Linked DNA regions of Callithrix jacchus. The protein of the gene in region 2 interacts with the protein of the main gene of each other region in a biochemical or structural test. Links are inferred from orthologs where the notes say so. Each region holds a gene or a part of one and is shown on either strand. Other genes may lie near its edges.

What was found. The genes of interacting proteins can lie anywhere in the genome.
Region 1: the proteins of IPO13 (region 2) and MAGOH form a complex in vitro, tested with the Homo sapiens proteins (2 studies listed by BioGRID and IntAct). The link is inferred for Callithrix jacchus from reciprocal best matches to the Homo sapiens genes IPO13 and MAGOH.

What each region holds. Positions count from the first base shown.
Region 1 is NC_133508.1:90,378,515-90,382,751, forward strand, and holds the start of MAGOH (protein mago nashi homolog), read right to left. Parts: upstream 2,821-4,237; 5' UTR 2,751-2,820; coding exon 2,663-2,750; intron 175-2,662; coding exon 116-174; intron 1-115. UniProt on the Homo sapiens protein: Required for pre-mRNA splicing as component of the spliceosome. Plays a redundant role with MAGOHB as core component of the exon junction complex (EJC) and in the nonsense-mediated decay (NMD) pathway.
Region 2 is NC_133508.1:80,628,940-80,632,583, forward strand, and holds part of IPO13 (importin-13), read left to right. Parts: intron 1-190; coding exon 191-271; intron 272-807; coding exon 808-945; intron 946-1,103; coding exon 1,104-1,200; intron 1,201-3,644. UniProt on the Homo sapiens protein: Functions in nuclear protein import as nuclear transport receptor. Serves as receptor for nuclear localization signals (NLS) in cargo substrates.

The DNA.
Region 1 (4,237 bases), about 9.7 Mb from region 2:
TGTGTTTTTCTCCCTGTTCTCTACCTTTCAGTACTACCAGAAAGAACAAAAAAATGCAAGACAAAAAGCTGAAATGTAGCAAATGAAGGACTCTCAGAAGGCAGAAGACTCATACCTCTTTTCTGATCATGACATCATTCTTGTAATTGCTGTTGTTGGCGTATCTTAATTTCCCTGTGGGGGCAAAAAACAAATTCCATGTATAATAAAAACATATGAATAAAAGCATCAATACATACCAAGACTATCAGCAGTTCCCTAAAATGTATCTAACTTGCTCAAAGTGTCTAATAGATTTATTATTTACTCTTATGGTATATCAACAATACTAGTCTTTTTCAGTTCACTTCAGGCTTAAACAGCCAAATATACAGCTGACACTCTACTGCAAAACGCAGCTCAGGTGAGATATAAACACAAGCAGGCTCTTTTCTGACATTGTCAAATCACATTTTTGCAGGTTAATATCCTGAAAACAGGCATAGTAATTGATAACTTACCCGTACATAGGACCTCCTGAGGCTCAAATGAGTTGTGAAAACATTTTGAAAACTGTAGGATGCTGTTTACATATATTATCATGTGACTGTGCCACCCTCTATTTCTGTGATGGAAAAGCTGTTGCTTTTATCACTGAGCATATTTGGTACACCAGACCCTTTGTCCATGGGTGCATGTAATAGGTTAATGTGAGTATATGGTGGGGATGAGGGGAAGATAAAAGTAAATAGAAGACATGACTTCTCCTGCCGTAGACTAGAAGACATACATGTGAGATGAGCCAAATGAATTTATCCAACAGCCTCTGTGTTGTGTCTCTGCCTCAAGTTTCTTCACATTCAGTTCACTGTCCATACGGTGGACGCGGTGATGTGGTAACAGACCTATCAGATTGGGTTACTCTAATATTTTAATACAGTTAATGGCTTTCCACTGCCTTCCTGGTAAAATCCAAACTCCTCAACATGGCATACAGCTAAGCTGGCCCCTGCCTGCTTTTCTAGCCTCACTCCTGCAATATTCTTCTCTCACATGGCTGGAGTCAAACTATTTGGTATTCTGTCTGAAACATCCCAAGCACTTTTTGGTTTTCAGCCTCTTTGCATGTTGTCTAAAATGCCTTCTTGACTCTTGGTCTCCTAACCAATTCCTCACATCCCTTTCTCCCACATCATTTTATGTAGGAAGCCTTCTCTGACCCTCTGGCTTGGTTAGGTGCCTCTTCTCTGCTGCGAGCCTCCTCTGTTTCTTTTTACCACAACACCCAATACACTGTTTCATCACTGTTTGCTTATAAATCTATCTCCCTCACAGTCGAGGCCTGTCAGTTTCATCTTTGTGCCCCACTTAGTGGATGTTTTCTGTTATCTTTGATTCCTCTTTCCTTCACCACAGTGCCCCCTCAACAAGATCCTATCAATCAGCAAAGTCCAACTGTTTCTGCCTCCAACAGTTTCCTAAACCATCCTCTCCATTTCTACTGTTGCCGTAGTCCCAACCAATAACTTTCTTGTCTTGACAACTGCAACAGTCTCCTCCTAATCAATAGCCCTGTTTCCACTCTTGCCCTTGTGCACCCAATAACCAGAATGCTTTTTCAAGAACAGATCCCATTTCTTCTCTGTTTAAAACCTTCCAAGTCCGGCTGGGAGCAGTGGCTCACGCCTGCAATCCCAGCACTTTGGGAGGCCAAGGTGGGCGGATCATCTGAGGTCAGGAGTCCGAGACCAGCCTGGCCAACATGGTGAAACCCCATCTCTACCAAAAATACAAAATTAGCCGGGTGTGGTGGTGGGTGCCTGTAATTCCAGCTACTCGGGAGGCGGAGGCTTAGAATCTCTTGAACCCGGGAGACGGAGGTTGCAGTGAGCCAAGATAGTGCCACTGCACTCCAGACTGGGCAAAAAGAGCGAAACTCCATCTCAAAACAACAACAAACAACAACCCTTCCAAGTCCAAACAACAACAAACCTTTCAAGTCCAAAGCTTTTACCATGGTCTTTAAAGACTTACAAGGTGTGGCTCCTACCTACCTATTTGACGTCATCTCCTGCTATCTCTCACCTTATCACTCTTTAACCACACTGACCACTTGAGAGGCATGCCTAGCTCATTCCCGCCCTGCAGCCTTGACATTTGCCAATCCCTTTGGGTGGAATGGTCTTCCTCCTGAGCTTCACAAGGCTGGGTCCTTGTTGTTAAGTAGGGATCGGCTGCAATATACCCTTTACAGAGAGCTCTAATGGTCAACCTATCTAAAAGCAGCCCATCCAGCAATTATTCTACCTTTTTTTTTTTAATCACTCACTACTATCTGGAATCATCTTTTTGTTTATGATCTCTCTCCCGGCACTAAAACACAAATTCCATGAGAGGGGAAGTTTGTCTACCTTCGCTGCCGTTTCCCCAAAGAGTGGAACAGAGCCTGGCACACAGTGAGCGTAAGGTCAACACTGGTTAAATGGATTAAAAAAAAACAAAAACAAAAAAACCCTGGAGCAGACACAGGGGCGTTCCTTTCAGATTCTCGCTGCACAGGTCTCAGTCCCTTCCTCCTGTCTTTCCACACTGATTTCCGACCCTCCGCCTCCCGACTCCGGGCAGCCTGTAGCCCGCCCTTATCCCTGGTCCCCGCTCCCGGCAGGCTACAGGCTGCTTTTACCGTCTGGTCGGAACTCAAACTCCAGGAACTCGTGGCCGAACTTGCCCTTGTGCCCCACGTAGTAACGTAGATAAAAGTCACTCTCCATGGCTCGCAAAAGACAACCGAGACGGAACCTCGAAGAGAAAGCCGCACCGCCGCGGTCTGCGCCCGACACTGACGTTTGGGGCGGCGCGCGGAAGTGACGTTACCACGACGTCGCGTAGTGGAGGGTTTCACTCTTGCTAACCTCTTCGCCCGGAAGCGGCAAAAGACTGCTACACGGGTAACGAACTTTGTTTAGTCCGGAGGCTGGGCCGAGCAGCTCGGTCCCTCCAGCTGGACGCGGGAGCGAGGTTGAGATTTGACCCCTCAACCCCCTGGGTTTTCTCCAGGCCTGAGGCCGAGAGCCTACCGCTCACCAACCTCTGGGCTTTGAACGAGGAGTTCAGAGACCTCACTTAAAGACCTCGGGCCGAACACCCCGAGCCTTGCACCCGCCAGGCTCAACCTCAGTTCACAGGACTTCCGACTTGTGTGAATCGTACACCGCTCTTTACCGTCTCTGCACCTAGGTCATCTCGGCAGTAAAGTGGGGTAAAATGACCCGAGCTCCTCGGAGGACGCCGCGCACGATATGTGCCTCAAGTTGGCTTCCACTGACCTGAATGTTAAGAAAGCCGTCCTCTCTGTCTCAAAAAAAAAAAAAGAAAGTCGTCCTCAGTGACGCTCTCCCTGAATCCACAGTGGAGATTGCCATTTCCCTGGAACTAATTCACTCACACTTATCCATTGCATCCCTTTCTACCTTTTATTTCTATCTTTCTACCCCACTGGTCTCCAGAATAGGTGCTTGAGAAGTTAAAGTGAGTATTTGATCTCCCATTACTCATCCCATTTACTCAGCAGTGATTCTCAGCCTGGCTGCGCATTGCAATCACCTGGGAGCCTCTAAAAATACTGATGCCAGGGCCCCAAGCCAATTAAAATCTCCACCGCTGGGCCTGGGAATTGGTACTTTTTATAAAGCTCCCAGGTGAGTCAGAGTTGAGGACCACTGACCAAAGGGGCTCGCTCTTTTCAGGGTAAAGTGATTGTCCTCTATGAAGCCTTTCTGGCTCTGAAAAAATGTACAGTTGAGTAGGCCCAGGGCAATCAAGATCATAATTTTATAATAGGAGCCTACTTTCATTCATCTAAGTTCCAGCTTAGAACGAATGGTTCTAGAGACAGTGCCTAGATGACATCATTCTTGGGACCTGGCAACTAGAACTGGGGACAGGAATCAGACAGGACCGCAGTCTTGATTCCTGTCCCCAGTCTTAACATTGAGTCCTTTTCTCCCTGAAAAAGCATTAGAAGCAGAGTGTAGAGTAGGTGTGGTGGGGGAAAATCACTGGAGATGGGTTAAAATAATCGCTTGTGTAACAGTGACTCATTGTAACTATAGGTGAACTGACTCAACTTTTTAGACTTCAGTTTCCTTCTCTTTAAATGAGCGTAATAATGTACACCTAGCAGAACTGTTATAAGAAACAATTTCAAAATTGCTATAAAACCATAAGGCATTTTTATTACAAAACACTGGATATGGGT
Region 2 (3,644 bases):
ATATCCTCCTTTTTCATTCATGAGAGAGTTCAGCAAACCACTTCTTCCCCCAGGGGTCCCATGCACTGGGTCCTCAATATGCATTCTGGGGTAATAGGTTTGAATTCCCCTCCTCCCTGCTACCAAGTCCTTCTCAAGTGGGTCACAGTGATCGATAGCAGAAGCACCTCACTTCTTCCTGTGTCTTCAGGTGGTGGTGGTGCTGCAGCAGGTCTTCCAGCTTATCCAGAAGGTGCTGAGCAAATGGTTGAATGATGCCCAGGTGGTGGAGGTGAGCCCTGGCCCTTGCCCTCTGCTCCATAGTTACTTCTTGGAGGTGTAGCAGGAGTAAGATGTTGCCATGTTTCACTTTGCAATGGTTTGGAGAAAACAGGGGAGGTAAATCCTGCCGCATAGAGATAAGGAATCTTTTGGGAAGTCATTCAGAACTCTCCAGTATCGTGAGAAATGCTTAACTCAGGGACTGTAATATTAGGGTTGAGTGACAGCCAGCCATCTGTTTTGGCATCAGAAACCTGCCTTTGGTCCGTTTTCAGTTCAGGTTTTTGTTGCCATTGCTGCTCCCTGAGAGGAAATGGTGGAGATGTAAGTAGCAGGAGTTAAGTTCCACAGTTCCATCCTGTGCCCCTCAGTGAAGGGCCTTTGCCCCCTGCCAGAATAAGGGTCAGACTTGCTTACCGTCCTTGGTTTGCAGCCCCGGCAAGGCTTATAGGTAAGGGCCCGATCTTAGGCCCGCTCTGCGGGGCTTCAGCGCTGTTCCAGTTAATCGTGACCTGCTGACCAGGGTCCCTTTGCTTTCTTTCCAAGGCGGTGTGCGCTATCTTTGAGAAGTCGGTTAAGACGCTGCTGGATGACTTTGCCCCCATGGTGCCACAGCTGTGTGAGATGCTGGGTCGGATGTACAGCACCATCCCCCAGGCCTCTGCTCTTGACCTCACTCGACAGGTGGGCCTTCTGATTGGGGCAGAAATCCTAACCCTGGGTGGGGGTGGGTCAGGTAGCTGCTGTGTCTGGGGTACCCACTTGCATTCCAGGGATACTGCCCCACTTGCATTCCAGTGAGACTGGGTCTCAGCTGACCAGCATTCCCTGCTTTGTTGTAGCTGGTCCACATCTTTGCTCATGAGCCTGCCCACTTTCCCCCAATTGAGGCCCTCTTCCTGCTCGTCACCTCCGTCACACTTACTCTCTTCCAGCAAGGTAGGTCCTGACCAGGGTCTCTGCTGCTGCCGCCACTGCCACTGCCTCTGCTTCCCCAAATGGGGAGCCAAAGCTGCCCACTTTGTTCTTCTCTGTCCCCTGAGTCACATGTGGGACTTGATGGGAAACCTGTGTAATCAAGCACAGCACCTTACAAATAGTTGAAACCTTAGGTTGAAGTGGATAAGAGGGTGAATGATGTCTTCTACTGGCCTGCTGGGCTCAGGGCCAGTCTGGATATGGAAGAAGGAAGTGGGGGTGGGAGGTGGGCAGAGGCTTGAGGGGCTTGGGGCACTAGGCGGGCTCCTTTACTTTGGGATATAATGAAAAGAGGAAAGAGCACGGGCTTTTGAAGTCAGCTAGACCCAGATTCTAAGTTCATCACCACCAACTAGTTGTGTGTCCTTGGGCAAGTCACTTACCTTTGCTAAGCCTTCATTTCCATATCTGTGAAACGGAGATACCATATACTTGAAACGATTGTTTACAGGTATTAAAGTCACATCTTCTGGGCCCCTGGTTCAGGGGCTTTTGCACAATGAAGTACTCAGAGACTGCTGGTTCCTTTCCCTGCATCAAGGCTTAGTCCTTTCTAGGCCAGAAGTCAAGTACCTTTGGCTGTAGACCTAGCCCTCCATTCCCTGTGACCCTTTGCCTGAGAGAGTTGGGAGCAGGGGCTTCTATTCAGGCTTCTCATGTTGTCTAATCCAGGCTTCCAATTTGGAAAATCAAAAACAAAAAAACAGCACTGCCTCGTGAGCCTTGCCTGGATTCATGGTCACAGGTTTGAGGCTCACCAGGGGCCTCAGTTGGTACCCAGAATACTCTTAGCTTATAACCTCAGTGGTCTCATGATCCTGGCCTCTGTTCCTGTGGGCCATGGAGTAAGTCCAAACTGGGGAGAAACCTGAACCAGAAACCTGGTGTGGTCATCCTCAACTCCACCTCTCCCACTCCCTGTACCCAATCTAGGATAAGCCCCATCGATCCTGGCTCCTGATTCTCTCCACGTCGGCCCACTTCTACCCACCTCCGTGGCCACTGCCTGCGTTTAAGGTCTCACCTGGATTATCAACAACCTTCTAGCGGGTTTTCTTGACATCTCCCCTTCTCTCCAATCTGTTCTGCACACTGCAGCTATAATCTTCATAAATTGTCTTCCCAGGCTTAAAACCCTTTCGTTGTTCCCATTGCCCTCAGCTTATTGTTTCATTCCCACCCACATGACAAGGCTCTGGCATGCCTCTAATGTCCTCTCCTGCTGGCATCCTCATGACTCCAAAATACCAGCCACACTGCCCTTTCCTTACTGTGTCCCATTTGATACCTGTGCCTTGTGCCTCTGACTAGAATGTCCTAGGCCCTTTACTGGGTGAACTCTCACTCCTTCATGTCTCAGAAAGGAGGAAGACTGAATCACTTCTCAGAGTAATTTCTCAGAGGTGGAATTGGGTACTTCTAACTGTACCGAAACTGCATCCTGTACACACTGCTGACACAGCACTGAGCACACACAACAATCAGCTTTCAATGTCTGTCTCTCTTACTAGACTAAGCCCCTCCAAGGGCAGGGTTGAGTTTCTTCTCTCTGCATCCCCAGTGCCCAGAATGAGGCCAGAATACAGCAGGCTGCAGACACTGTTAAACAAAGGAGGGGAAGGGCTCTCTGCCCTTGGAACCTTTCCTTCTCTCTGTCTGGCCCACCTCTAGCAGGGTGGCTGCTGAACATCAAACCTGCAGGGTGCACATTGGGCCTCACTTTCTCGGACTTAAATAACTCAGGGTTCAGATACCAAAGGGATAGGCTTTATTTGTCGGCAGCTCTTCATAGCCTAGAGAGGGAAGTAGGGCAGAGATTATCTGCTTTACAGATGGGGAAACTGAGCATTGTGGCTTGCGCAAGATCACACAGCTACTTAGTGGTGTCTTAGGCAGATGGTTTTGCACCACATCCTCCTCAGAGTGGAGAAGCCTGGGTAGGAGCTCCAGGTGCATGCCATATTCTTGCCTCAGGAATCATCAGAACTGGAGGCAGAAGTGTCCAACATCTTATCTGTTGGGCTTTGTTGGTTGTCTTGCTGGACAGGATGGCTTCTATACCTGTTATGCCATCCCAATCTTAGCCATTCCTTCCTCGGGCTTTGCCTTCCCACTGGACCATGGGATGACACATTGATTGCTTTCCCTCTTTCTTGGCATGTCCAGATGATGGGAACTAGTCCTCAGCCCTGAGCTTGGCTCTCTGCTGAGTCCGTGTCCATGTGGAAGAGCTTTGCTGGGATGAGGCTCTTGTTTTTGGCCTTACGATACTGTTTCCTCCTATGGGCCCTGCTAGTGACTTGCTGGGCCATTCCATAGCATGCTGGGCACTGCCCTACCTAAGCAAGAGTCCTCTGGTTTAAGTGGACCGAATAGATTCTTTTCCTTGGCCAGACCAAGAGCCC